Alligator mississippiensis: one gene and its partners. The protein of the gene in region 3 purifies or fractionates together with the protein of the main gene of each other region. This does not show direct contact. Links are inferred from orthologs where the notes say so. Each region holds a gene or a part of one and is shown on either strand. Other genes may lie near its edges. The genes, in order: RB1, STAT3, SP1 and SMAD3.

Region 1 (7,799 bases), on a different chromosome or scaffold from region 3:
ATATACCAGGCAGGTACCTCACTCCTATCTCTTGTATTTCTGAATGAAAATGGCTGTGATGGCTGTGCTTTGTGTTCAACATAATGCTACTGATGTGTTAAGAAGACTCAAAGCCTGCATATCAGAATGGTTTGCTCAAGGAACTTGGGTGCCACTCCCTCTAGTTTATAGATTTCATTGAAGCTTTGGTTGGAGCTAGATGGTGAGTTGCTCAGACTGGGGCAGTTCGGGCAGGTACAAAAAGCAGAACTGCAGACACTTAGGGAACATTCTGGCCAAAGAGGGCTTAGCAAATTTAAGGAGCTGCTGAGCTGAGTTTTTTGGTTTTGTTTTTTGGGGGGTTTTTTTGGAATCACATTTTGGACTTCAGTTCCTAAAACAGGGCAGAGGCAGACTTTAACCACTGAAGTTTGCCTTTGAATCTGACCCTTAATACCTGTCTAATTCTAAACAAAATACTGTTCCCATGGAGTTCAACAGATAACTCTTAGGAACTCTGTGATAAGATAAAAAGCTTGCTCCCTAGGCAGTGCTATAGAAAGGGGTACAAGGAGGACCCAGACTTTTTGCCTGTCACATAAATGAGCTAAGGTGGTACTATAAAACACTACAGCAGCTGCCTAGGGAGGCTTTGCTGGGAGAAAGAAAGTGTGTGTGTTTTTATTTGTTCAACTTGTTGACAGCTGTAAAGATCCCTAATGTCTGGAACAAAATTTTCTGTGATGTTTTGCTCATTTCAAATTCTTTTGCATTCCTAAAGTCATTCCTGAAAATGGGCTCCAGAATGAGCTGCAGTTTAGGATTTTAACTTGCTATCCTAAATCCTTTTAACTGCATATGATATATACTAGTGATTCTCAACCAGGGTGCTGAGGCATCTTGAGGAGTTTTGACATCATTTTAAGTGTGCTGCAGAGTGCCATGCAATGTTACCACTGTTAATTGTGCAAACATGGTTCACAAGATAAACCCAGAAATTTCAAATAGGATTCCATAATGTTTAAAACATTCTGACCAGCTGTGGTCTTTCTGAGTTCTTGGCAACAGGAGAATAGATCTAGTATTTGTCCATAGTCAAAAATTGAGAGAAAACTAGGAGCTAGCATTTTCTGAGGGGTGCCTCCAGTGGGGTGCCTCCAGTGGGGTGCCATCAAGAGGTGCCTTGAATCTAAAAAGGTTGAGAACTATTGATATGTGCACTTCTAGACTTTTAACTATGGACAGCTCTTCTAATTTGAGTAGAAAAGATTTCCTAAAAACAGAAGTAGAAAGAAAGTGCTACAGCTTCACTGTCACAGTAATATGAAATGATTAAATAATTATTTACCCTATAACTGAAGGACTGTTTTTCATCCAAAATAGTTCGTTCTGTACTTGATTTTCCTCTTTACAATATTGTGTATTAACAACATGTGGCTGGCTGTGGTACTTATGATTGTTAGCATTCCACATAAAATGCAAACCCAGAAGGTATTTAATCCAGTCCATGTGCATCTCCAAGCCTAGCTGTGGAGTGTCTCGCTGCTATGATTCTTGTTGTTCTAACACTGTCTTGATGTATTTGATGATTGCCAGTTCTCTGTGAAGTGATTCTTTGCAAGAGACATATATAAAAGCTGCATAGAATGCTAAAAGCTGCATGGCAGGAACCCCAAATATTTTAACTTAGCTTTGCTTATTGCTTTATTAAAACTTATCAGCTTATTATGTTTTTATTACTTTTCTTTTAAGCATTTTAAATTGCACAAGCATCTTAAAAAAATCACCCCTAAACATAAAATAATTTAATTAATTTCCATTTCTCTTTAAAAATCAATTAAACTACCTTAAATTATTGGTTACAAAACATACAAATTCACAAATTCACAAAACATCTTACTACTACAACACAAAAACAAAATCAACTGTGTACTGTAACTATTTTACACCAAGGTTAAAAAACTCTAAAAGTATCTAAACAAGCTAAACAAATAATAATACACCATAGGTAAACTATTTTCAAGGAATAATCACCATCATAAATAGTGGTCCTAAATGTTATGTTACATTCTATTATCATCTTCTTTATACTAACTAAAATAGTGCTGATTGTAATACGTTGTATATGTTGTTAAATAAAACAAATGTATTAAATTAAAATCACATACTTTAATTGCTTTACAATATATAGCCTTGCAAAAATTATAAAGTGATCCATTCAAAACAAAATGTTTTAAAGGATCCAAGAAAGGAATGTTATACAAATAGCATAAATACCAGCTTGATGTTAGGTAAATAACATGGAAATAGACTTTTGCGTATTGCTTTTAATCTTATGTATTTTCTTGAGGTTTTAATTTCCTTAAGAAACTCTGTTTTGTATTGCTCTGTAGCTTGACATAAGTGGTTGACCTCTTACTCTTTGTATGCTGTATGTGTAAGAATATGTTTGTGGAATAGGAAAACATCAGCTAGCGACTGGCTGAAGAATTCAGACTAATAAACGACCAAACAAGATGAATCTGCCCCAGAACAGTGAGAGAACAATGGCAATCAACCTTCAAGAAAGAACACAGTGATAACCTAGCTAAAGCCCAGAGGACTGAAGGAATTGACAAAGCTATAAAAATGGGGCGAGATATATTGATTTTGGGTATTATTCTGCATGTCAGCCTGAAGCTTCGGTTTGTCTGATGAGATGTACTGGAAAAAGCATGACTCCTGATTGGATTAACTTGGCTGGCCACTAAGTTGATCTGAGCACCGATAAGACTGATAATATATACCAGCACAGAACAGAAATTGGGTATGAATGTGGGGTGTGTATGTGTGTATTAAGCACTTAATCAATAAACATGGTTCTTTGCCTTATCGCCCTCATAAGGCATCGCTGGTGATTTGAACAGTTGGCAATTTATGTAACACCTGCACTCCAGTCTCTGCCTCTTTCCCTCCCCCCACCCCCATATGCTGCTTGGGCTGCTCCCTCCTGGATGACAGCACATGGAAGCACCAGTCCTTGCCTGGCCAAGCTGCAGCTTTGGCGCTGCTCATTGGCCAGGAAGGGGAAGGAGTTTCCATTGGCTCTGTGCCCAGGAGAGACCCCTCTAGTCCTAGCCAGAGCCTAGCTGCACTTGAGAGCAATGGGGAAGGGAAGGCAACTGCAGAGGACAAGTGGAGGAGGCAGGAGGCTGCTGTGCAGTGTTGCCAGGCCTTAAATATGAAATTATCATATTGGAAGCTCAAATTATTGTATTTTCTGAAAAATTATTGTATACTGAAAGAAGTATGCAAATACATCTTCTTCTTATTTACTTTATATTGCTCAATGTAACTCTCCAGTGAGCGAGTGAGTGAGTGAGAACTGGAAGGCTTAAAATTATCATACCAATATATTATCGTACACCTGGCAATGCTGTTGCTGCTATGGGTCTGACTCTGTCCCCAACCTAGGCTCAGGGCCAGGGTCAGAGCTGCAGCCCTGCTACACTTCTAAAGGAATATAAGAGAAGGGGCTTTCCCCTCATGCTGGGGGCATGGGGGAGGGGAAGCAGGGGAACCTAGTCTCATTTTCTAGCAACTACAGGTTTCCCTCCTTGTATGCAGGTTGTGTATGTGCGAATTTGCTCTTATGCAATGACCCTTTTAGACCAAAAATTTGTTATATGTGAGGTAAATTCACTCTTACGTGATCGGTGTGGTGGAAGCCTGCAGTCAGCTGCTTTGTGCGTTGCATTAAGGGACTGATGTGGACCAAAATACAGTTTCCCGTGTGGATCTGCATGCCTTGCTCACTGCCTCCAACAAGTGTTTCTGTAGGTGCCATCCCCATTATGGTAACATTCACCCCTACCCTGTGCTTGCATGTACTGCCTGCTGTTGGTGAGTACGAAAATTGACTAGTAAAAGTGGTAGAAATGAGTTGGGGGATCAGTACAGTCAAGGTCTTGGAATGTATTCCTATTTGTTACATTGTAAAGTGGGTTCCCTTTATGCAAATGAAAATTTGAGTTATGAGTCGTTTTACAGGAGGACATACAAAAAACTAGAACTCCTTGTTCCAGAATGATGCCATTTTCCAGTTGGTCTAATAAAAGGTAAGAAAATTGTCCTTTTTTGCAAGCTTTTGGGATCAAAGTCCCTTCGTCAGGCTCTGGGAAAAGTGTAGATGGTACAAGATGGTAAAAACTCCCCATGAGTAGGAAATAAACTTCATTTTTGCACAGATGGAGCTGAAGATGGAAGGCTGACCCTCGGGGTCCATGAGAGTGCCTTGGTGAGCTGTGTTGAGTAGCATTTTGATGCCTTGAGCAGGTAGAATTCCTTCCCTGGAGAGGCCAGCTGGCAGGATGGGAGGTTTTCCAGGAGCGTATGTACAGCATAAGACGATGGGAACCTGTACAGTATATTCATTTCTGCTTTAATTCCAGACTGCCCAAACCAGCCCAGAGCCCCGAGCCTGCTACCAGGTTCATTTTTGCCTGGAGAAACACCCAGCGACGCGATGCCCAGCACCCGCCCTCCCTAATCCCTGCGCCCGCCCCTGGATGACACGAGCAGCCCCGCCCCTGCCGGCGAGGGAATGACTAAGCTAGAGCCCGTCACCGGGACAGCTCTCTATTGGCCAGCATTGGCGAGCGCTCGGCCGAGCTCATTGGCTGCGCCGCTCGTGCGAAGCATGACGTGATCAGCACCCGCTGCTTCCGGAATCTTGGCCACTTCCCCTCAGCCCCGCCCATTTGTAGACTCCCCGGGCTCCGCGAGCCGGAAGTGACTATGAGTGTGGGTGGGGCTGGCTGACGTGCTTTCCCGCGGTTTCCCGGCTCGGCCGCGCAGTGTCCTCCGCGGCTCTTTAAACGGCGGCACCGGCGGCGCCGCTCGACATGGCGCCCAGGCCCCCGCGCAGGGGTGCTGCCGCCGCCGTTAGGGGGCAACGCGCCAGCCCGGATCGCGGCGCGGCCCCCGCCGAGCCCCCGCCCGCCGCCCCCAGGTGAGCCCCGCCCGCCCAGCGCGGCCGGGGGAGGGGACAGCATCCCCTCTGCTGCGGCGGGTCTGCCCCGGGGCGGCACGGGGAGAAGCGGAGCGGGGGGGCCGCCCGCCGCGGTGTCTCTGGGCCGCTGCTTGGAGGGCGGAGGAAACTCTGCAGGGTGCGAGAGTGCGGGGTCTCCCCAGGCCGCCCCAGGTCTTGGGGGAGACTTGTAGCTTTGTAGAGATTTGTAAAATAATCCCCCCCACCCCTCCCGCGCCACGGGACTTGAATAGGAATCTGTATGTTAAGCCAGGGAGACATGGGGCTGGAAGGGAGCTCCAGCTCCCTGCCCCGAGGTGGCCTTGTCCCTGTCCGGGCTCTCCTTAGTGCTGCCCTCCACCGTGATGGCATACAGACCAAACACTCTCTCATGCCATGGGGTAAGCCCTGCAGCCAATGTCCTGCTGCTGTGGGGATGCGCTCGGGGTACCCACGACCCTGCCACTCTGGAAGCCAGAAACCCGCACAGTCCATGTCAGTCTGATCATGGGCTAAAACGCCTTCCTATGCCCAAATCTGGCAGTTGGTGTGACCCTGAGCCCTTGGAGGGGCAAGACCCTCTAGCCAGGAACCTCTGACTTGATTCCTAGCAGGAGCCTTGGCACATCCCAGTGAAAGTCCCCAGCCCTGGCTGCAGCCAACACTCAATGCCTCTGTGGCAGGTTTAAAAACACCAACACAGTGGTAGTGGGAGCAACTAGCAAAGCCCAGAAATATGGGAAGTACCATTCAGCCCCGGGGTGGTGGGGAACGACGGACACAGGACTTGTTGAGCTTTTTGCAACAGAATAATTGCTCTAATATTTTTCTGCACCCAAAAAGCCCCCAAGTGAAACTGGAGAGCTGGCATTTCCTGAGGTGGGGTGTGTGGCTAAAAAAACTCTCCTTGAGAACCACTGATCTAGCCTGGCCTAGCTTGGGAATGCATGACCTTGCGTAGGCAAAAACCTGCTCTTTTCTGCAAGTCCATTCATAGCATCTGACAAAAGATTTCTTTTTTCCCCTTGTCCCTTTTCCTTCTATATAAAATAATTTATTTCTGGCAGCCCATTTACTGCCTCAAACAAAGTGGGTTGTTGCTTGTGGCCCCTACTACACATTACATATATTAAACAGTTAACTGGTGAATCTTATAATGCATGTAGGCTGGCCATACATGCAACATAATTCTCATACAGTTAACTGGTTAAGCATACAGTAAATTAAGACCAGCCACATGTGCAAAGGAATTATCACTGTAAAAAAGGACTGTTGAGCTATAAACGAGCCAATCAGCTATAAAGTTAGTACTTGAAAATGTGTAACAATTGTATAGCTGGTTTCTGTCCAGCTTTAATTTGAAGGGGCAGCAGGACCCTATGAAAGCTCATGTCTCACTGAATTAGTCTCTAAGGTGTCACCTTGGCCTAGCTTCTGCCTGACTTAACGTGGCAGATCACCTCTTGAGTCTGCCCTATGTCATGTGAGCTGTAGGATTTTCCTGAATTCTTGTTTGAGCAAAATATTTCTGAAACGCTAGTTTTCATTTTAAAATGGCTAGTAATAAAAAATCTACCATGTTCTTTGGTAAGTTATTCAGTGGTTAATTAACCTCAGTGTAAAAAAATTGGGCCTTATTTCTAATCTAGATCTGTACCATCCAACTCCCCTTAACTGGAACTTGTTTTACATTTTCTTTGCTAGACTGATTGCCAAAGATACATGTAGCTCATGATCAATTCACACCTTAACCCTGTTTCTGAGTTGATTGATTTTATTTTTTTTGCTGCAGAGAGAATTTTCCTTGTTCAGGCTTTTTTCTAAATCCTTTCCATCTTGCATCCTTCAGTCCAGAATCTCTGATGTTAAATGATTGACAGGTTTGAGCCTTGCAGACAGTTTTGCAGAATAAACAGGTTATTCACATTTCTGCATGTGTGTGGCAATGTTCCTAACTTTTTGTTTTGTTTTGGTAAGATGTTCTGTGAAATTAGCTGTAGATGTGACAAACTATTGTCTCGATCCGCACATCTAATTTTTAATACTTAGTAAGCTTGTCAGAGAAGTAATCCCTTATCTGGTGGCACATACTGGCCTAATACTATTTTTTTCTCTTCTCTTGCTAGGGTTGAGTTTGGAGAAGCAGATTTTGTTGCACTTTGTGACATTTTAAAAGTTTCGGATGTCATAAGAACAAGTGCGTGGAAGACATATGAAAAAGTGTCATCTGTGGTTGGATCTCTAGTGAGTACTCGGTATAGCTAATGCTCATGATAATATTGTAGTAGTGGTACCTATTCTTTGATTCCAAGTATTATATTAATGTCTTTGCTTGACTTGACATATTTTTACAGCCATTCTGGGAAGCAAATGATTCAGAATTAAGTCTGAGAACTCAAATGTTGCCACATCACTTTTCTAATGAAAATTTTTACCCAAGTCAAAATGTACAAATGCTGTTGTATTCATGACTGTATATAGTAAAATGCATAGTCCCCCTTTATTTCTATATAGAAAAACTGCTTCTATATATATAAAAAAAATAGTGCTGGTTTTAAATGCTGTGCTGGCTGTCCAACTGTCCTGACTACTGTTTATTTTACATAATTTTATGGTACTGAGTGTATGTGTGCAACACTGTGTCTACACTGCAGTGAAAGGTATGACAAGCATTTGTAGGCATACCTGAGATTAATTTTAAAATAGCTGTCTTAGGCATTGATAGTGGTATAGCAATGACAGCACAAAGATCAGTACAGGATACACACCCGTGTCCTCAACACAGCATTTATTCATGCTTTGAGTGGGGCTT
Region 2 (7,851 bases), on a different chromosome or scaffold from region 3:
AGCCCATTGGTCACCTCCATCTCTGGCTCAAGTATGCTTCCAGGATCCTTACCAACCCTGAGCTCTCCCTCCCATAACAGCATGCAAAAGCAACAACTTCTACCCTCTCCAGCTGGCTGGGAGACTCCATTCCATAGAAGGAGACAGGAACCTGGCCTCAGTTATTCACACCTTCATCACCTCTTGTCAGAACTGCAGCCATGTGCAAAAGTCCTGCAGGGCTTGGGATACTTCAACAAGTACAGAGGCTGCAGCCCTTCTCTTCTGCAGAAACTGTCATACCCGATCTCTGCACCTGGCATTGGCTTCCCAGAGAATTCCAAACCACATTCAGGGTCTCAATCCTTACCTTCAAGGCTCTTAGAGACCAAGGCCAGGCTAGCCTAGTCAAAAGACCAACTACAGTTCCAGGATGAAGACAGTGGTTGGTGCATTCACTCTGGCACTAAAGGTTAAAAGTACATCCATGCACTCAGAAGATCTCTGGTTGCTAGTGAGAGACTACATGGCAAACTCCCCCAGGACCTTCTACTGTCTGTTTCAAGTGCCCTTTTTTGGTCCTATGCGCTGTAACATGCATACATGTACACATATATACAAGTGCAAAGCTAGAACATCCCACACACTTCTCCCCCTTGGGAGGTGAAAGAATGCATACATGACAGATGTTAGCCACATGTCTTTATGCAATTCTCAGACATAATGGTGCTCAGCTCAGCAGTACCAGAACCAATGTAGAAAGCACTAGCCTGAAGCTTGGAAGGCTACGGTTCAATTCCTTACTTTGTCACGGATCCTTTTTATGACCCTGGGCATATCACTCTTCTATAAAGTGGTGGGCAAGTTGCATTGAAGATTATGTGATACAGATACAGTGACTAAAAGGCCCTGGGAAATACTTAGGTAACCTCTGGCACAGCTGCTCTGTATTACTACCTACTGATGTGAAACGGAGACCTTGAGTTTTACTTATAACACCAGTCAGTTCTCTTTATATAAACTACTACAAAACCACTGTCTGGTCCAGGCAATGAAGCCCATGTTGCACAAGAGACTCTCTCTAACCGGAAGACTTTGGAGCAGTTGCATCAAGCAACAGGAAAATATGCAAGCCAGAGTTCACACCTGTCTCAGAAACACGAATCAGTTCACCAACCTTGGTTTGACCAAACACAGAACCACAAGTTTCTGGTTTTCAGTCTTCATTACAAGTAAACTCAATATCACAGCAATTTTAATCTAAGATCTGGTATTGGACCAATGCCTGTAAGGAACGGTTCTGCAGCTTATGCTCTGTGTTCTTTAGGTGCTCTAATAGAAATCCTTGTCCTCAGTCATTTCTAAATTTGTGGGATAAGGATCATTTCATGGTTAAAACTCTGAGAAGTACACACATCTGCTTGGGAACTAAATCCCAGGATCCAATATAAACTAATAATCCTGATGTTTTGGTTTCTTGAATTTTTCCTACATTTATCCATAGATTCCTGCTCTGAAAAGGCATTTTAGACTCAAGTCTCTTAGTGTTACATTTTAAAAATGCATTCAGCAATAGAAGTATGTTCACTGAATTAAACAAGGCCATTTTATACTCCTGCTTGCATAGAAGAGATGATATTTGCAGGACACACAAGACCTTATAGTTTTAATCTTTACAGACATTTTTGTCAGCAGCAACCAGTCCACCCCAATAACAACTCCTGCCAAGCTCAAACTTATAATAATTTTATTAGGTGTGAGAAGGAAACAAATCTCTTTTGCAAAAGAAATGCCAGGTGGGGGCATTCATTTCTCCTCTTAAAGTTTCTGATCCCACGCCCTTTAGAAGCAATGGCAACGTTCTGCCCAATTCTCGGAGAGGACTGGCACATCTGCAGGCAGTAGAACAATGGGAGGCTTCTCTCCTCCGCAGTGCTTGCGGTACTAATTAATGCCACAGGATTGTCTACTGAGGGAGAGCTAGAAATTGGAAACTGACTAACAACAAAAACGAAACTGATGACTCTTTTCTTGAGCCAGGTTATCTGAACTACAAACATAAACACCGTTGTTAGAAAAAAAAAAAAAAAGAAGCTTTTCAAGATCCATGCTACTGGGAATAGGGTTTTCTAAAAACTCTCTTCAGCCTCAGCTATCCATGCTACTGGACTCCAAACAGTGCAGGGGATTGGCAATTTGGGAGTGCTGGCAGTGAAGTTTTGTAGACATGAAACACCCTGTTTTACTGAAACTGCTGTGCAAACAGACACTGGCTGGGTCATCATAAACAACTCTCAGCAGGGTCATAATCCAACCAGCAATTTCAAAGCCTGGAAAGGCTGCAAGGAGCCTGAGAGCAGCTCAGGAGGAAGAGCACCAAGATAGAGTCCGCAAAGGCCTGGAAGCCAAGATTCACAAGGAAGGCTCTCCACTGACACCCAGCAATGGCAACAGGTGCATCTGCCTGTACCCCATGTGCAACCTTCCTCCTCGGGCCCCTGCCCAGATCCAGGGACAAGAGATGGCACAAGCACTGGCACAGACAGAGCTCCCTAATGGTGGCGGCACCCGATTCCTGCCAACCACAAATGCAGCTGCACCATGCCAGCGTCCCAGATGACCTGATACAAGACGTGACGGATGTGCGAGAGGGGACCAGATCCGGTTGCCACAGGCATCACCACCAGATTTCCTAGCTCCAGGGCATTTAAATCTGCCAACCACAGCCCTCACTTTCTGCAGGGCCCACAGGCCTGGCTCCCCTGGGCCGGGAGCCTGGAAATGCTCCAAGCCACCCTGCATGCCACCCAGCACCCACGCCCAGCGGCTGCCAAAGCCCCCTGGAAGGGGCACCCACTCGTGCCCCAGCACCCCGGGCACTGCCCCCCCGGAGGCCAGGCTCGGCTCGGCTCACCTGCGGGGAAGGGCTCCCGGGCCGGGCCGGGGACGGCGGCTCCGGCTCCCTGCGGCAAGCGGGGATCTGATCCCTCCGCGGATGACGCGAGACCTGCCACTCTAATAGCCCCGCCCCCTCGACCCTAACGTCACAATCGTCCTAGCCAATGGCTTCCCGGGTGAGCTCAGGATTCGCGGGGGACGGGCCTCCCCAGCCAATCAGCGCCTCCAGTCCCTCCTGGTTCTTTCATTAATCAGGAAGGCGCCGGCGCGTGCCCCCTGGCGGCTGTTCCGGGTGGGGGACGCACCTCCCACCGCGCGGCCGAGCCAGTGGAAAGGAGAGGCCAGGGCTCGCGGCGGGCGGAACGGCGACTGCCGGGAACTTCTGTGCTGGAAACTCAGCTGAGTTCCGGGCAGCACTCTGACGTCAGCGCAGCCGGGGCTGTTTCTGCTGCCGCCTCTTAAAGGGCCAGAGCAGCCGAGCCAAGCGGGGGCGGGGGGCACGTAGAGCCCCTCACCCCGCGCCCTGGGATGCTGCGGCTCATCCCGCCGCGCTGGTCCCACCCATCCCGTTGACCTGCACGGGGGTGTGGACCCACACACGCACATGCATATACACACGTGTACACATGCACACGCACACAAATATACACCTGCGCACGCGCGCACACATTTACACATAGGCGGACAAGTTTCTCTGGGTAGATGTGATCTCTTTTATCAGACCAACTGTTCTTTGCAACCTGCCAGGCCCAAGCACCCTTCTTCAGGCATAGAGCGAGTCTGCTCTGCTGGTGTGTGTCTGCTCCCCTGGGTAGAACAGGAGCCAATATGCAAAATGCAGGTCTGTGAAAATATAGGTGGGAATGGGGGACAATAGGTGAGAGACAGGTTGGGGGTGGGGGAGAAAGAACCTAGCTGGTAAAATGCAGACAGGCTACCTGGGTGGGCGGGGGCGGGGGGGATGTAATACACACGTGCCGCAATGGCTCATACGATTCACATGCCCTAACCAACAGAGGCATTTGCCTCGGGTCCATGAACATACTGGGCATCTTGCCCCATTCCAGAACAGCCAAGTTGGAGATTTTGTCATGCCATGTTATGCCCAGGATACAACAGAGACATCAAAGATGGAAACTTGTTTTCTTTTTTCCTTAGCATAAGAAGTCCATGTTTCGCCAATAGAGAGCTAAGTACACATGTATACACACGTGTAGACATACACATATGTCTGTACATACACATATGCATACTCACACATACACACTTGTTGCTGTTCATCCTTTGAATTTGAAAATGACCAAGACATCACTGGTTGGTTTGGTTTCTGTGAACACGTGAATGGCTGATCAGGCCAATTTGTGCTTAGAACGGTCTATGCCAGTGGTTCTCAACTTTTTTGTACCAGGGCCCATTTGTAAACATTGATGGCCAGTCCCAACCCACTGCCCCTCACTCCTGACCCACTACCCCCAGGCCCCAGCCCTTCAGTGTGTAGGGCAAAGGGGAGGTGGGATCCAAACAGCCCCTTGCAGGCTAGAACTCCTCCAGCCTGCAGGGGAAAAGCCACCGTTTCCCCATGTTTTTCTCCTTTAATGGAGAATCCATTTTAAAAAGTTCATTAATCCATTTTTAAGGTTTGTTTGTGACTCTTTCATACATTCTTGTGACCCACAGGTTGAGAAACACTGGTCTATGGCAGACTGAGCAAGAGATGCCCCTTTGGGTTGCTTGCTGCTGTTGTGAGATTTACGCTGTTTGCACTTTTCTGCCTCAGCAGTTCTCCGCTCATAGACAGTAGCTCCAGTATGGACGAGGCTTCACCAGGTGGAACGATCATGAGCAAAATCTTCCCAAGATTTTGGGTCAATGTTGAAATGTTTCAAGGATGACTTGAGGGAGTCCTTGAAGCATTTGTTCTGGAGAGCTCTTTCCCTCCTTCAGCTCACTGTGAAAGATCTTTGGCAGTTGCTCATCTGATATCCTGGCAACACAGCTAGCCCATCTCAACTGTAATTTCATCAACAGAATGTGGATGCTTAGAATGGCTGCCCATGTAAGAACCTCAGTGTCTGGGACCTTGTCTTGCCATCTTATCCTCATCAGTTTCCTCAGACAGCCCATGTGAAAGTAATTCAGCTTCATAGCATGGCATCTGTACATCATCCAAGTTTTGCATGCATACATCAGGATTGGCAACATAATGGCTCTGTAGATCTTCAGTTTTGTTTGTTGACCGATGCCTCTGGACTCCCACACATTTACATGTAGTCGCTGAAGGCCATGGTTGCTTTAGCAATTCTGGCATTTGTTTCATCAGTGATGTGAAGCATATGTGACAGTGTACTTCTGAGATAAGTGAATTTGTCCACTGCCTGGAGGATTTGGCTATTCATTGTGATGGTAGACTCTACACATGGCTTTCCTGGTGCAGGTTGGTGTATCACTTCTCTTCAGCTTGTGAGATTTGGTCTCACAATCAACACTAAGACGACAGAAGTAGTCCATACTTCACTGCATGTCAGACTCAGATTTGGTATTCATGGAACAGTCATTAGCAAACAGAAGATCACAGTCACTTCCTGTAAGTTTGTTTTCACCTGTAGTCTCCTTAGATTGAAGATCTTGCTATCAGTCCAGTATCTGATGTCAATCAGAGCATCACAGTCACGAACGGCATCTGTAAGCACAGCAGAGAAAATCATACTGAAGAGGATTGGGGCTAACACACTGCCCTGCTCAACTCCATTGGCTCAGATGACTCACCGGCATCCACAACAAGAGCAAGCATGCCATCATGGCACTGCCAAACCATTGCAATGAATTTCTCCGGGCATCTAAATTTTGCCATGATCTTCCAAAGGCCTTCCCAATTGACTGTATCAAATGCTTTTGTCAGGTCAATGAAAGTCATGTACAGGTTTCAGGAAAGGACACAGAACCATAGACATAGTGTTTGCATCTTCTCATATACACATGCACACACATGTATACATGCACACATACACGTAGCCGTACATGCATGCATAGACACACACATATAGACATGCACATACTTAAATGCATGCATATACATATGTATGAACATATATAGATGCATACACACGTACGCACACATATGCACACATACCTACACATATGTATACACACCTGTTCACATGCACATACATACATATACAAACAGGTCACACAAACACATGCACAACGGCATATACACACATACACATAGATGCATATACACATACATACATACTTACATACACATATATATTGTATATACATACATAGACGTGTCCACACATGCATATACATACACACACATGCATATTGGGGCAGACCTAGGATTTTGAAGAAGAGGGTGCGGTGAGGTCCATCACCTCATATAAAAACAATACATTTTTCTCTAGTTAAAAAGAAACTAGGGGCACCTATACATGTGCAGGCTGCTCCTATGTATTGTAATTACAGTGCATCAGAGCAGACTCGATTAATTGAGTCTGCTGGAGCATGGCAATTACTATGCTCCAGCAGACTCCAGCATCTTGTGTATTAGCATCCGCATGCTGAAAAACGGTGGGGGGGGCATTGTAACTAAAGCTTGTTCGACACGCTTTGAAGTGCCCCTGCCAACATTTTTCAGCATCGGGATGCTGATATACGAGATGTTCAGGGCATGTTAATTAGAGTGGCTCTTGGAGCAGCTCTAATTAAAACACCTCCCCCCACTCCCAGAGCACATGTATAAACACCCAAGAAGCTTTACTACTATGCTAGGGGCCTAGGCTGTACTATTCAGTTGAAGTTTGAAGCAAAAAAAATATATAACTTCATTGGAATGGAGTTAAAAACAAGCAGTCTGCAGGTTTTGTGAAATAGGGGTTTCCTGACCAGGAACAGCTAACAGACAGCACAATTGCAAGACACAGGCTACCTTGGTTGGTGGAACATCAAGACCACTAAAAAGAAAAGAGGGTCATTAATACCTGTGGGGTGTAGAGGTTAGAGGGGATCAGGTACATGATGATAAGATATGCAGTCAAGTAACTCCCTCAGCACTACCTGACTAGAAATGCTGCTGCCATTGCCAGGCACTTGGTTTTAAGCTTTGGGTGGACCAGAAATCAAAGCAGGTACAAGTGCACCCTTCTGGATCTGCCCCTGTATGTATACATACACACATATCTATGCTGGTTAGTCTATAAAGTATAAACATACCCCACCCTCTACTTAACTTCAGACTAATAGGTCTAACTATGTCTCTATATCAGCGTAACTGGCAGCCTGGTGCCCCCAAAGCAGAGATGACTCTCCTGCCCTGGCTGTTGCTTTTAGTGGTCTCAGGGATTGCTGGCCTGCCTGTGACGTACAGGGCTGCTCAGCAAAGGCCATGAGATGTGGGCGACTCATTGAGTGCCATGGAGGCTAGGGAGGAGGTATTCACACGGGGTATGACTCTGCAGTAGTGGAAGCAAGGCATTGCACCTCTTGCTGTGCAGGAGGCATTGCCCCCTTAGGAGTGTCTCAGCCAGTCCAAACAATAATCCTCAAACAGGCTTGAGTGCCTGTGGCCCTGCTGCCTGGCTTTGCTCCCCTCAGTCATTCCTCATCACAGATGCATTAATCCTTAGACCAACAAACAAATAAATAAGTAAATCAAACTGTCAACCTTTCTCCAGGCAGCAAGAGAGGGCCCTGTAACTAGCACTTCCCAGAAGTGCACTATTCTGGGTTTCAGTCTGTTATCTACCCATCAGCTGTTCCTTCCCCCAACTTGAGCTGCTTGCCCTCTCCCTGCTTGGGCTTTTAATTCCCAGTTTATCCTTTACAGCTGGGCTCCTATCCCAGGGCTGGCTGCCCTACTTAAAAGGTGAGACTGCCCACTGTTACAGGTAGGTTAGAGACTTCTGTGTAATTTGGCTAGTACTGGGAAAGCTAGGTATGTTCTACTTGCAAGAGCCTTGCTAGTTTCCACTG
Region 3 (7,457 bases):
CTCGCCCGAGCCGCCTTGCTGGCTCTGGGAGCTGTTTGAGTTCTCATTGGGAGACTCAATCCTACTGCATGTGGCTGCCAGCAGAGCCAAGGGAGAAGGCTGGGATTCCTGACAAGCAGAGAAAGGAGGAGTTAATTCGCCAGAACTCGCCTAGTGGGCAGTGCGCATGAGAGCAAACAGGGAGGAGCTGCCGCCCACAAGATAAACACTCCTCAGTAACAAACACCCACCCACAGCCGGAAAGCACCCCAAGCAGACATGGGCCTGACAGGGCTTAGGGGTTTCTGAAAATAAAGTGTGGCTTTAAAACTATCTCTGCAGCTCAGCCCAAAGCAAGGGGGTTTCCCCTCTATGAACTGATATGTCCTAAGAGGAAGTGCTGCTGCTTCTAGACACCCATCTGAGTGCGTCCTCGATTATAAAGATGTGTTTAAAGCAGCAGCTGTGCTAAGTATTTCTGGAAGACCAAGGGTGCCGGATATGACCCTGGCGAGGCAGCCACTGCTCTTTGTAGGCTGTGTTCATACTGGAGGCACCAGAATGCTGTCCAGAACTGCTTTAGGCAATGTCTGTTGGGCATTTATATTCTTCTTTCCTCTCCCTGGGGTGAGAAGTGTGTGCAGTGGAGAGCTTGTTCAGGGATTTATTTAAGACTGTACATACAGGCTTACACACAGTAGCTCTAGTGTGTGTTAGAGAAGGGAGGTCAAGGAAGCAACCGGCAGCCCCAAACTTAAACCTCCTCTCTCTCAATGAGATTCCTAAGCTTGGCCGTCAGAGAGGTACTGGTCATGATGCTACCATAAGAAGTCCCAGGACTCAAATCAAACATTTCTGTGGGTTCACAGGGCATATTAGTACTTCAACAGGGCCCCTAAACAAGAGCAAAACATGGAGCTAGCCCCATTTGGACAGCTGTCCACTCCCCAACACATACCCATGCGCTGCTCACCTGACCCTCCCCATTGCCTTCACTGATGCTGTTGCTGCTGCTGTCACCACCTCCTTCTATTTTCTCAGACTTCACCACAGCCACTTCTTCGGGGCTCTCTTGGTCTGCAGAGCAGGGGGGAGAAAGGAGGTCAAGTGATAAGCAAAGCAAGAAAATGTTCACCAAAAAGAGAATGATGAGAGAGGCTGAACAGAGTGACACAGTGGGGGAAAGGAGATGTATCTTTGGTACATATTGGGAATGTGGGGGCGAACCCACAAAGAAACTTGTATACTCCCCACCCCCATTATTAGAAAGGGTCACTATGTGTGCTCCAACAGATTCTGGGGGACAAGTGAAAACAGGGTGGGTGGGAGTGCAGATCAAAGGTTAATGAATGACTGCTTCAAGGGGGGACACTGAGCACAGCACATCGCCCAGCACCTGCTGGCTGACCCATCAACAAGTCCAAGGAGGGGAAAGCAGACATAAAGGAGAAGGAAGAGCAGCAAGAGGGAAGGGTGGGAACGCAGAGTGGGTGGACAACACGGTAGGACCTGCCAAGGGCCAACTCCTTCCATTTTTGGGTACTTCAGGGCCACAAGAAGGGAAATGGGAAGATAAAGGGGGGGGGGGCGCTGGGACAATGGAGAGACTGTGGGAAAAGGGAGCTGAGGCTGGAGGGTGGCACAGAGGCCAGAGGGAGGACCGAGCTCCACTCCCCAACCCTCCTGTCAGTCCCTGCCTCCCCACCCAGCCCTACTCCACCACCCGCCTCAGGCCTCCTTCACTCCCACCCCACAGGAAATCCCTTTGCCCAGCAGCAATTCCAGCCTGTTCCCTTGGGACCTTGCCCAGGAGACTTCACCCTCCTCCCCCTCTTCCCTGGCACCTCCCTCGGCCCTGCCCTCAGATCTGGGTGGGGGTCAACCCCTCCCTGCCTCCCCCCAGCTCCCAGGGCAAGTGGGAGAGAAGAGCCCTTAGAGCTGCCCTCCCCCAACCCAGGGATCCTAGGGCCTTTGCCTCCCCCCACCTCAGAGCCCCCAGCACCCCCCCCATTACAGGGATCCCAGGCCCTTCCCCCATATTTGCCTTCTCTCTCATGGCCCCCCCCCTCAGGGATACCCCCATGACATCTGCTCCCCCATCCTCTCCCTTCAGGGATCCCAAGCCTTCCTCATGACACTTGCACCCCCCCCCAAATCATGGCCCTCAGCTCCCCCCTCACCGCCCTGTCAGAGCCCTCAGCCCCCCCCATATCCGTCCTCCTCATGACCCTCAGCCCCAGCCCCCTTACAAGGACCCCAGCCCCTTCCCCCATGATATTTGGCCCCTCCTCAGCGCCCCCCACCCCCCTGTCAGAGCCCCCAGCCCCTTCCCCCATGATATTTGCCCCCCCATCAGGAACCGCAGCCCCCTCCCCTCCCCTCAGGGATCCCAGGGTCTTCCCCCATATTTGCACCCCTCCTCATGACCCTCAGCCCGCGCCCACCCCGCTGTCAGAGCCCCCAGCCCCGTTACAGAGACCCCAGACCCTTCCCCTACGACATCTGGCCCCCTCCTCAGCCCCCCCACCCCTCTGTCAGAGCCTCCAGTCCCTTCCCCCGTAATATTTGCCCTCCCCCGCATCAAGGACCGCAGCCCCCTCCCCTCAGGGATCCCCGGGACTTTCCCCATGACGTTTCCCGCCCCCCCGCAAGGATCCCGGGCCTTCCCCCATATTTCCCCCCCTGCCGGGGGTCCCGGGCCTCCCCGCAGCGCCCCGCTCCACGAGGCCGCCCGCCGGCCCCTCCCCCGGGCCCTCCCCCGCCCGCAGCCCCCTCCCCCGGGGCCCTCCCCTCGGCGCGGGCGGCCGGGCCGGGCCGGGGCGGGGCGGGGCGGGGCAGGGCTGGGCCCCCTCCCCCGGGCCGGGGTGGTCCGGTCCGTACCGCTCATGGTGGCCGCGGGGGGGCGAGTCCAAGTCGCTGCCGGGGGAGGGGCGGAGGCCGGCGCGGTGACGAGGCAGCCTAACCCCGCCGGTGACCGCCAAAGGGCTGGCGAGGGAGGGAGCGGCGCGACGCGGCCCCGGCCCCGGGCCACGCCCCGCAGCCCGGCCGTGCCCAATCAGGAGCCGCGGAGCGGTAGCGGGGGCGGGACGCGCGGCGAGTGGCAAGCCGGCCCTCGAATGAGGAAGCGGGCGGAGCCTAGGAGGGAGGGGGAGAAGCCCGCCCGAATCCCCGGCCCTGAGATACGCCCCTTTGAACGGCTCCGCCCAATGAGGGAGGGGGGAAGGAGGGAGTGACGGAGGCGGCGGCCAATAGGAAGCCCGCGCAGCTCCCCCGGCGGGGGTGGGATGAGGGGGTGAGGCCCAAGGGTGAGTGACGTGATGGGCGGCCAATCGGCAGGCACGAGGGCTCCCAGGGAGACCCCGTAAGGGCGAGGCTGGGGGAAGCGTGGAAGGAGGCAGTGATTGACAGGCAGAACGACGAATCGCAGTTTAGGCGGGCTCCTAAGACAGCGCCTCGCGAGGAGGGGCGGGACGAAAATCAGATCGACGTCCAGCCTCCCCAATCAGTTGTCAAGCAGGCCCACGCCCGTTGACGTAAGGCAGGTCGGATTGGAGCTCGGCGTGCACAACGACCAATCAGAAGCCAGGCGACTGGTGAGGCTGCGGATCCCCGACCAATGGGAGAGGCGAGCCCCCTCAAACCGGCCAATGGGACGCGCGAGGAGGCGGGAGGCCTAGGCGGTGGATTACACGCTGGGAGGAGAGGCGGTGGGGAATGTGGCGGAGCGGCGCCATTTTAGCTCAGTCCCCGCCCACGCCCTTGAGGAGGTGCCTGCGACCCCCTCGTGCGCCCAAGCACCGCACGCGCGCACCGCCCTGCCACCACGTGTCGCCCAGCGGGGCCTGTCGCCACGTGGCCTCCCTCGGGCCAGGCCCTGCTCCCTGAAACCTGCGGAGACCCTGGACGAGGCCTCCTGCCGGATAGCTGAAGCCTTGGAAAATAAATCTAAATCTAAACTATCGCTAGAGATCATCATAATGTTTAAACGACCATTTTCGGGGCCCCTTTCGGTTCGCTCACGCCAGCGTCTGGCCCTAGGAACGGGTCAGCCCGCACCGCTGGCGTGCGGCACCCTGATGATTATTGCAATGGGTGGGTGCAAAACACATGCGGGGCTGGACTTTTGGAGGCGTTCGGAGCCGGGGTTTTGTGAGGACCCGACACGTCTCGTTGCGGCGGAGCCGGGAGCAGAACGATCCTGGCGGGGATGGAAAGTAAAATCCACCCCCCACCCCCCCGCCGCCCCATGCTGTTGATTTTGGAGACTGCTGGAGATCGAAAGGGCAGGGGTCAGAACTGCACTCGGATCTATCCCCCTCGGTCCCGGGCGTCCTTACGAGCAACGCCCAGTTGCCCTTTCTTTTCTCTCGCAGCAGCTGGAAAATTGTGCCGTCACCCAACACAACCGCCCTTTGCCTCCGACAGACCCGCTTCATTTTTTTCTCCTCGTTCCCCACTGCGTCCTGGCTGGCAGGTTTGGAGAGCTTTCATTGTGAAAACAACCGCCGTGGGTTTGTCAAGCAGGATTCCCTCCGAGCAAAACGCTCCAAGAGTGTTGTTATTGAGAGGGCTGCCGTATCAAAGAGCCCCCTCCCCCGTGGAGGAGAAGGCCCCTCTAGGGCTAGATACTTGCACAGACCCAAAGCAAAACCACATGCTCTTTGCCCGGAAAAGTCTGCAATCAACATGTGAGATCAGAGACATCAGGTGGCTGCCAGGAGCAGCTGGGCCGAAGGGGGAGTTACGGGAACTGCAGTTTCAGCCTGCCAGCTGCCTTCTGCTCCAGGTTTGGGAGCACCTGGGCAGAGGGAGGGATTAGGAGAAGGATGGGGGAGCCATCCTGGCTTTTCCAGGAAGCTCCTCCCATGCTTAACAGGAGGACACAAGGCTTGTTCAAGAGCGGAGTCAGGCCTGGATGGGAGCTCGCAGGTCAGCTTGTTTAGCCCCCTGCGTGTGTACTGGATGCGCTTGCGTAGCCTGCCCCAGACTCTCGCCCTCCCACGTCTCCTCCTAAAAAGTCCCTCTCGCATGTCTTGAGTTCAGCAGCACAGCACGTGCCTCCCCCTCCAGAGCCTCCGCATTTCAGAGGGAGTGTTGGTTCAAATCTGGCATCTGAGCCGCTCTCCACCCTGGGCTGGTGGGTGCGGCACGGATTCTGCTTTGGGGAAGGGAAGAAACATTTCAACCACGCTCTTTCCCACCGCCGCAAAGAGATGCTGCCTGCCTGACTGCCACTGCTTTCCAAATAAGAGCTCAGGGTGTTGACAGCATCCCCAGCCCCAAACCACCCCCAGCCAACACTGATGGCCCGCGGCACCAGGGACACAGCTGGAGCATCTGGAAGTCCTACTCTGGAACTCCTCCAAAGTCCTTGACTTTTGGAGCCGACCACCATGAGGCTGACTAGCTGGACAGCAAATCCAGCATCGTTCTGGATAACATCCTTCAAACCAGCTGTGTCCTGGGCGGCCTGACTGCCTTCCATAACATCCTCTGTTATTAGCATGATAGATAATTAGTGCCGAGAAAAGGAGGGCAGCAGTCAACCGGGTAGGAGGGGAAGTCACGAGGCAGCAGCCTCTTCCCAGCCTCGTGGCATGGCTTGGGGAGCTCATGGCACGTCTGCGCCTCAGTTTCCCCCATCTGTGGAACGGGAAAGTCACCTGGGTCTTGCCTGCTGCAGGCACCATAGCTAACAGTGAGGAGGGGGAAGTCCTGGCCCATCACTGACGTGGCACCTCACTCCTCTTTTGCCCTCCTGATCATGCCTCGTGCCCTCCCTGACTGACCAGCTCTGCCTGCAAAGGTCTGTGCCATAGACATGACCAACACCCACCCTCCTACACAGATATGGACCAGTCAGTGATGGGGACAGGGTGGCCTGGATCCTATTCCCAGGTGATCTCGGACAAGTCCTTGCCTCAGTTTACCTGTCTGAGAAGGGGGGCAATGCCGCTGACCCCTTCTGCACAGCACTGTGGCTGTCAAGCCTGGCGGGGAGGGGGTTCTATTTTTATAGCTGATCTGCAGCATCATCCCCATTAGCAAATGCAGCGCAGGGGCAGAGACTGGCAGGTTCCCTCCCCCACCCCTGGGAGGGAGCCACCTGCCTCCCCAGGCTTAGAAAATCCAGCCTGTCCCTTTAAATCCCAGCGCAATGGGTTGCCACAAAGGCAGACAACAAAGCCATGTGGAGCCAGTCCATCCCCTCCTTCCTGGGCCGGCCCCTGGGCTGGGCTGGGCTGGAGGATGGGCCAGCTGGGCTCTTTGATAGGCAGGAGCCAGCACTGGTGCCATTCACCGGGCTTTGCTACTCTGGGTTGACCTCAGCAGGGCCCTCCTCCTCCTCCTCTGCAACAGAAGGGAAACTGAGGCACAGAGAGGGTCAGCAGCTCCCTACCTCGCCTCCCCTGGAGCTGAGAAAACACAGGAGTCCTCACTCTCAGTCTCCCCCCACAGTAGGATCCAGGCCACCCTGTCCCCATCACTGACTGGTCCATGTCTGTGCAGGAGGGTGGGTGCCAGGGGGTCATGTCTATGCCCGCGACCCCCGCCACTGATCCAGCGGCCCTTCCCAGCGCTGAGAGGTGAACCCGGGAGTCCTGAATCCCAGGCACTAACCACTAGCCCACCCTCCCTCCAAGCTGATCTGCAGCCTGCCCTGCTGCTGGTCGATGGCAGAGCCCTGCAGCCTGTGAATGAGCCAGGAGCTGTTCAAAGAGGGCCCTGGCTGGGGTGAGCTGGCTGCTGGCAGCTGCTGGGCCCTGGCCAGCCAAGCCAGGCAGGGAGGGGGGGAGCCCCAGCCTTCCTGCAGCCTTATCTGCTTCTGCAGCCTATGGGTGTGGAGCCCTCGCCCTCAGCTAACCCTTCCTCCCTTCTAGGCCCCCCCACAGGCTCCCTCCCTGCCCCTGCTCCAGCCCCCCCCACCCCCCAATGCTCTGCTAGAGAGAATCAGAGCCAGAGGCAACAAGCCAGATCCCGAGGAGAGGAGTGAGGAGGGGGCAAAGGTTGCTTTAAACAAGGCAGGGACAGAGCCAGGAAGAGAACCCAGGAGTCCTGATGTCTGCTTCCCCCACGCCACCAATAAATATTAGACCCTCCCATGGTAGAACTGGGAACAAAACCCGGGAGTTCGAGTATTCAGTGTCCCCACCCCATAAATGAGATGGCACCCCCCATCCCAGAGCTGGGAATACAATCCAGGAGTCCTATCCCCTGCTGGCTGCCGCCTGCCAGTGCTTCCACCGGGACAGGCTCCCTCTGCCCTATGCCGGAGGTGCCACAGGGGGTTGGAGGAGTGGCATGGGGTTGGATCAGGCCCATAGCTCTCCTCCCCACCCCCTCGCCTAGCATACCGGATCCAGCACCTGCCCCCACCTGCCTGGGACCTATGCTGCTCATGGGGGTCCCAGACTGGCTGGAGCAGGCAGTAGTCCCAGAGCTGCCGGGGCGGGCGCCATGTATGGCACGTGACCTGG
Region 4 (7,042 bases), on a different chromosome or scaffold from region 3:
TGAGGGGGTAAGACACCAACCCCACGAGGGATTGGGAGACCTTGGCTTACAGTTATGGCTCTGACACTAACCTGCTGTATAACCTTGAGCAAATCACTTCATCTATAAGACTCATCTTTACAGGGCAGGGACTGTCTTTTACCATGTTTGCAGCTAACCTACACCAGACTAGCCTGGGTATGGGCATTAGGTTTGATTGCAATAGAAGGATTAAATAACAGTAAAAGTGCATACTATTTTCAATACTTGAAGCTAGTGTCAGGTGACAAATAACTACTGCTAGAAGGGACCCATGGTGTCAGGTGTAATCAGGCAAAATTCCAGTTGATATCAAGGATTAAGGACTGAGGTTGGGGTCCATGTCATGAACAAATGAAAGATTTTAATTGCTGGGGGACTCTGTCTAGCAGACAGATTTCCAGGACAGAAAAAAAAAAATAAAGAAACAGCCATTCACTTTACACGGTAAACATTAGCTAGAGTGTCCTGGCAGTGTTCAGAGTTTGTGACATTTGCTTTTTTGATGTTACTTGCTTTTTTTTTTAAATGCATTCTCTCACACACCAAATGCTTCCTATGAATTACAACTTATTGAAAACAGCTTTCTACCCCTCTCAAAACACCCGTGTTCCTACCGAAGCACATTTTAGGTCATTTCATTCTCTGACTCTTCACAGGAGAGCAGCAGTGAGTCTTTGAAATCCAAAATACAAAAACACAAGTCACATCAGTGGTTGGACTTTTCAAAATCCCTTCCCCCCCCGCCCAAATTTGCAATACAGTAAAAAAAAACTTCCACAAAGAGCTTTGAATAGAGTGGATTTCACTGCTTATCAAGAGTTTCAGATACAGGCTAGAGGGTAGGCATGTCAGGCACGAGTTGTGCAGATACTAATCTCAGATTCAACCCTGAAAATCCAGAGTAACTCCAATGAGATCAATCTAGATTTAGTGACCAAAATCTAATTTAGTATTTATTGTTCACTGGAAAAAAAGAGTCATGAGAAGCTATTAAATGATCATTAAAATTCATGGTTGATGAAGCAGCCTTTTAAAAAAAAAATAAATAAATGAAAAAAAAAAATCAAGAGTTTCAAACTTTCCCAACATTTTAAAGCTATTTGTTTCACTGGTTCATGCAACAGATGCTGCTTTGTGTGTACTAGCCACTGCATATTAAATCATTCTGACAACCACGACAGCACACATTTGTGTATGACAGACAAAAAAAGCATGCATATATACACACAGAAGCATATAATTATACAGCATTAAAATATTTTGCATGAACTTTAGCCTTTGGGTAAAAAAAAAAAAAAAAAGCAGTGTTGTATTATTCCTCAAAATAATCAACAGTACTAAGAATGACAGTCATGTAAGTGAGCTTAGAGAAATAAAAAAACCCCAGAAACTTCAGTTATAAAATGTTCCTCCTTATGGCCACTTCTCAAATTCTGAGAAATGCTTGTGCTCTCCCACACGTTATAACGGACCTTGTGGGCACAACCGTGCCAAAAAAACCCTACAAGATTGCATAAATAATCTGCATGAAGTCAGTTATTTGATCCGTGCGATCCCTCACCTACCTACTAATCCCACTCAGCTGCATGAACGGCGTCCTTTTTTGGAACAAAATAATGAGCCTATAACCATGTAAATGTGCCAAGTAATATAACCTCATGTAATATAGCCATGTAGTGTGCAAAAAGATATAACCCAATGTAATATAGCCACATTAGTGTGCAAAATATAACCTAATGTAATAGTCACATTAGTGTGCAAGTGATATAACCTCATGTAATATAGCCACGTTAGTGTGCAAAATATAACCTCATGTAACATAGCCATGTAGTGCGTAAAAGTTATATAACCTCATGTAATATAGCCATGTAGCGTGCAAAAAGATATAACCTCATGTAATATAGCCACATTAGTGTGCAAAATATAACCTCATGTCATATAGTCACATTAGCGTGCAAAAGTGATATAACTGCATGTAATATAGCCACGTTAGTGTGCAAAATATAAGCTAATGTAACATAGCCACGTTAGTGTGCAAAAGTAATATGACCTAATGTAATATATAGCCATGTAGTGTGCAAAGTGATATAACCTCATGTAAGTCACATTAGTGTGCAAAAGTGATATAACCTCAGTGTGCAAAATATAACCTCATGTAATATGGCCATGTAGTGTGTAAAAGTGATATAACCTCATGTAATATAGCCACATTAGCGTGCAAAAGTGATATAATCTAATGTCATATAGCCACATTAGCGTGCAAAAGTGATATAACCGCATGTAATATAGCCACATTAGTGTGCAAAATACAACCTCATGCGATGTAGCCACATTAGCGTGCAAAGTAATACAGCCACAGTGTGCAAATATAGCCAAATGTCATATAGCCACATTAGCGTGCACAAGTAATATCACCTCATGTACTATAGCCATGTAGTGTGCGAAAGTAACGTAACGCCACAGTGTGCAAGTATACACAGCCAGATGTAATGGAGCCAGGTGAGTGTGCAAAGTAACGCAGCCCCACAGGGCGCAAAAGTTGTGCAGCCGAACGTAAGCGGGCCGGGCCGTGCGGGGCCGGGCCGTGCGGGGCCGTGCAGCCGCGGTGCCGGGGCAGGGCGATGCCGGCTGGGGGGAGGGGAACAAAGCGGGATCCCGCACTAAGTGCGCCCCGCACCGCACCCCGCCGGGCCGGGCCGGGCCGGGCCGTACCTGGGGATGGTGATGCACTTGGTGTTGATGCTCTGCGTGGTGATGGCCTTCTCCAGCTCGTCCAGCTGCCCCGTCTTCTTCAGCTTCTTCACCAGGCTCTTCACCGCCTTCTCGCACCACTTCTCCTCCTGCCCGTTCTGCTCGCCCTTCTTCCAGCCCAGCAGCCGCTTCACGATGGGGGGGGTGAAGGGCAGGATGGACGACATGCTGCCGGCCCCGCCGCCGCCGCCGCCACCACCGCCGCCGCCGACAACTTCGCCTCAGCTCGCCCGCCCGCCGCCGCCGCCGCTCCTGCAAATGGCCCGCGGCCGCCCCGCCCGGGAAGGAGGCGGGCAGGGCAGGGCAGGGGAGGGGAGGGGAGGAGAGGGGCCGCCACCAACCGCCGCCGCCTCCGCCTCCCCGCGCCGGGGCAGCCCCTCAGCCTCCGCCCGCGCACACGGGGCTGCCCTCCACACGCACACACACACACCCCTCCGCACCCTGCCCCGCGCCAGGAGCAAACATCCATTTCCCCTTCCCTCACACACACACACACACACGGGCACCTCTCCTCCCCTCACATACATCCATTTCCCCTTCACACACACACACACACGGGCACCTCTGCTCCCCTCACATACATCCATTTCCCCTTCACACACACACACACACATACACACACACACACGGGCACCTCTCCTCCCCTCACATACATCCATTTCCCCTTCACACACACACACACACACACACACACACACACACACACACACACACGGGCACCTCTCCTCCCCTCACATAAACGCACAGAGAAATGGGCACCTCTTCTCCTCTCCGCACACTGCTCCAGGCCAGGAGCAAACATCCATTTCCCCTTCCCTCACACACACACACACACACACACGGGCACCTCTCCTCCCCTCCAGGCGCAGCCCTCTCCTCTCCCCTCACACACACATGCACACTGACGTGGGCACCTCTTCTCCTCTCCGCACACTCCCCAAGTCCCAGAGCAAACGTCCATTTCCCTTTCCCTCACACACACACACACCCTGGGGGGACTGGTTCTGTCCTCCACGCCAGGGAGATTTGAGCCGAAAACAGCTTTAAAAGCAAGAAGCGGGCCCTGAAATCTTGCTGCAAAACGAGCCGCGTACAAGAGAGACTCGGGGGGTGCCACACTCGAGACCCTTTAGCTCAGAGATCAGGGCTCATGGTCGAGGCGGTGTCTTTTATGAAGCCAACTAGACATTTGCAGAAAAATTTCTTTCGTTGCAAGCTTTCGGGTGCACGCACCCTTCATCGGGCATCAGAGATGAGCTTGTAAACGTTCTCCTGGGGAGAAATGACAGTTTACATTGTATAGGAGTGTTGAAAGTGGTTAAAATCTGTCTGGAAAAGTTCATTTCATTTGCAGGTTAGGCTCAGAGAGAAGTTGGAAAGATCTGTTTCCCTCGAAGTTGTTTGTTGGTGAGCAGGATGTATTCATGTTTCCTTCTGGTGATGGTGTTTCATATTTCACAGAGGAGTAAAGCGGTGGGATGTTCCTCTGAGCACTAATTCAGAGAGGACACCACCTTTTATCAGACCAACTAAGACATCGCAAAAACAATGATCTTTTTCTGCAAGTGTTTGGGCATACACCCTTCCTCAAGCTCAGGGAGAATTAAAGAGGGTAAAAAGTCCCCGTAGGTAGAAAATAAACTTCATTTTTTGCACAGAGGAAGCTGAAAGTGGACATCTGTTCCTCTGGGTGCACGAGGGTGTCTTTGGGAGTTGCTTTCTGATGTGCAAATAAGGCAGGATTCATCCTTCCCTGGTGGAGACTTGGAAACTGCCGGGGCCTGGACCTGCAGAGAGAAAGCTCTCCAGATAAGAGCGTATCTTAACCCTAAAAAACCCCAAACAAGAGCTGTGTATGTTTTCCTGGCTGCTCCACAAGTCCTAGGTGGGCTACTGAGAGCCCCAGATTCCAGGGTCTGCAATTCTCCACTCAGCCAGGGTTTCCAGGCCCTAGAAAGCAGCCCTAATTTTGAGAGACCCATTTTTTGACTGCCCACATAGAGATGCTTTGAGAAGAGAGAGGCTACGTATCTGCAGATCGCACTGATGACATTTCTAGCAGTGGTTGTTCAATGCCTCTGAAAATCAGGCAAACATTTATTTCCTCTGGCTGTTCAGCCTACAGTTAGGTCACCGCAACTGTTCACCCCAAATGAGAGAGAACCGTCACTACTGCTAATGCTTGCAATGTTCGGCATTTTTTCTTAAAAGCCAAAGCACGTGAAATCAAATGATTTAGGCGAGAATCTCAGCTTTCGTTTAAAACGTTTCTTTCCTTAACAAGTTTGGAGAGGAACTTTAATACCGATCCAAATGTAACCTAAATGCTCAAAACCCAGAAGATACAAATAAAGAAGCCTGGTGGGTTATTATTATTTTTTTTAAATCTCAGGATTTTAAACCAAAAGGTAGATTCTGCAGAGGCTGTTTCTACTCTGTGCTGGAATGGGGCAGCAACTCAGAAAGAGAAGTGAAAAGTAACACTGAAGTCTCAACCCTGAACTGATAGTTTGTACTTTGGACTTAGATATCTAGTACGTTTCAAACAAGGCTCTCAAAATGTTCAACCAACGCTCACGGGCCAAGCTTCGCTGCGTTTACATGAGGTAGAGATATTATGATTATTATTTCACAGGAACAAATGGGTCAATTTAAACATGGGGCTGTTAGGTGCTTTTCCCAAATTAACAGTCAGTGGCAAAGCAGCAAATGAAGTCCAGCAATTCTAGCTCACATTTAACTTCTTCTCTTGTGCCGAGACACCCTGGATTTAATTCTGTCCAATTTACCCTAGTAGGTGCGTTGAACTCAGCGAGCCACATCCCAGATTACATCAGCATGGAGATCAGTACAGCTCAAAAGGGGAACAAATTTGGTAACAAGATGCAGCATTCATTTTTAAGATTAGGGACATTAAGTTTTATAGAACCACCTCTGGGAGTGCTTGGTTTACCTGTCAAAGGAGCTGTCCTGTGAAAACATGCCTTTCTGAACCCCCAGACAGTCTGTCTTTATTTCGGAGAGTTTTGGATACTCACACAATGGAAATATTAACAGACAGGAAAAGGATGGAACCATCCTAATTTTTCATGGTCTGGATCCCTTTTCTGGTTTATAAAAAGTCTGATGTCTTCGTGGCTACCTTCAGGCTAAATAAGCAATAAGCATAAATTTTTATAGCAATATAACTACTGCCTTCATCTTTTAAAATACACCTCATCTTTAGTATCCTTACCTATGTGACCATCCTTACGCATGTGACCTCTGCATGTTGAGTCTGGGACCATCTGGGACTCAATCTCATCCACTGAGATTTTGTTCCTACTGATATGTACAGTTATGGAGCCCACTTAAGAAACCAAAAATACTTTTATGGATAATGTGCATTACTCATACTTTTAATTACATGAATATATTGCCAGATCTAGTAAAAAACTAGTTTACGCGGCACGTTCATTAAATTAATAAGTTTAAACTTTACCTTCTAAAACAAGAAAACTGGGCTTTCAGTTGAGACAATACAGAATTAATCGTTAACACAAGGTGAAAACAAATTCCTTCTAAAGAGCCTGTGAACATACACAGAGATACACTAGTGCTGGGCATGCTTTTAATTGCTTGCAAGACCAAAGGACAGACTCTCTGCTCCACACTATTCTCTTTGTATTGCTCATGGTAAAAAAGGGAGCGGGAGAGTCCAAAGCAAGCGTAGAGCCAGCTCTCTCCATAGGGGTATGTCAGAACTGGCAGGCTGAAGTACCCTGACTATCCCTAACTGGCAGTGGTCCTTTGCAGAGCCATAGACATTGCCTTTACACTGCTCTAATGTGTACTTGGGGTTGTGACACAATCAGGGAGTGTTAAACATCTCATACCCCACCCCCACTTCTGTACCCAACTATTGAATTAGTAAGTCTAATTTCTGAAGTATAGCTATATACGTAAACAAGGTACTTTGGGTAGCTTCATAGATTGTAAGGCCAGAAGGGACCTCGGAAGATCATCGGGTCCAGCCCCATGCACCAAGCAGGAAAGATAACTGCAGTCAGGTGACCCCAGCAAGGGGACCGTACAGTCTCCCCTTGAAGACGTCCAGGGTAGGTGATTGCACCAACCTCTGGAGGGAGCTTATTCCAGTCTGGACACTAACTGTGAAGAAGTTTTTCCTAATGTTGAGCCTGAATCGATCTTCCAGGAGTTTGTGGCCATTCCTCCAGGTTTTCCCCTCGGGTGCCCTGGTGAACAGTTGCTCACTGAGCCCTTGATGTGC

What was found.
Region 1: the proteins of SP1 (region 3) and RB1 purify together in Homo sapiens (affinity purification with western blotting; 3 studies listed by BioGRID). This does not show direct contact. The link is inferred for Alligator mississippiensis from reciprocal best matches to the Homo sapiens genes SP1 and RB1.
Region 2: the proteins of SP1 (region 3) and STAT3 purify together in Homo sapiens (affinity purification with western blotting; 4 studies listed by BioGRID and IntAct, with this or other methods). This does not show direct contact. The link is inferred for Alligator mississippiensis from reciprocal best matches to the Homo sapiens genes SP1 and STAT3.
Region 4: the proteins of SP1 (region 3) and SMAD3 purify together in Homo sapiens (affinity purification with western blotting; 7 studies listed by BioGRID, with this or other methods). This does not show direct contact. The link is inferred for Alligator mississippiensis from reciprocal best matches to the Homo sapiens genes SP1 and SMAD3.

The regions. Positions count from the first base shown.
Region 1 is NC_081824.1:413,410,817-413,418,615, forward strand, and holds the start of RB1 (retinoblastoma-associated protein), read left to right. Parts: upstream 1-4,799; 5' UTR 4,800-4,862; coding exon 4,863-4,969; intron 4,970-7,113; coding exon 7,114-7,231; intron 7,232-7,799. UniProt on the Homo sapiens protein: Tumor suppressor that is a key regulator of the G1/S transition of the cell cycle. The hypophosphorylated form binds transcription regulators of the E2F family, preventing transcription of E2F-responsive genes.
Region 2 is NC_081827.1:162,181,339-162,189,189, reverse strand, and holds the start of STAT3 (signal transducer and activator of transcription 3), read right to left. Parts: upstream 3,002-7,851; 5' UTR 2,894-3,001; intron 1-2,893. UniProt on the Homo sapiens protein: Signal transducer and transcription activator that mediates cellular responses to interleukins, KITLG/SCF, LEP and other growth factors. Once activated, recruits coactivators, such as NCOA1 or MED1, to the promoter region of the target gene.
Region 3 is NC_081838.1:8,792,644-8,800,100, forward strand, and holds the start of SP1 (transcription factor Sp1), read right to left. Parts: upstream 3,003-7,457; 5' UTR 2,867-3,002; coding exon 2,860-2,866; intron 1,057-2,859; coding exon 953-1,056; intron 109-952; coding exon 1-108. UniProt on the Homo sapiens protein: Transcription factor that can activate or repress transcription in response to physiological and pathological stimuli.
Region 4 is NC_081834.1:4,232,721-4,239,762, forward strand, and holds the start of SMAD3 (mothers against decapentaplegic homolog 3), read right to left. Parts: upstream 3,007-7,042; 5' UTR 2,940-3,006; coding exon 2,734-2,939; intron 1-2,733. UniProt on the Homo sapiens protein: Receptor-regulated SMAD (R-SMAD) that is an intracellular signal transducer and transcriptional modulator activated by TGF-beta (transforming growth factor) and activin type 1 receptor kinases.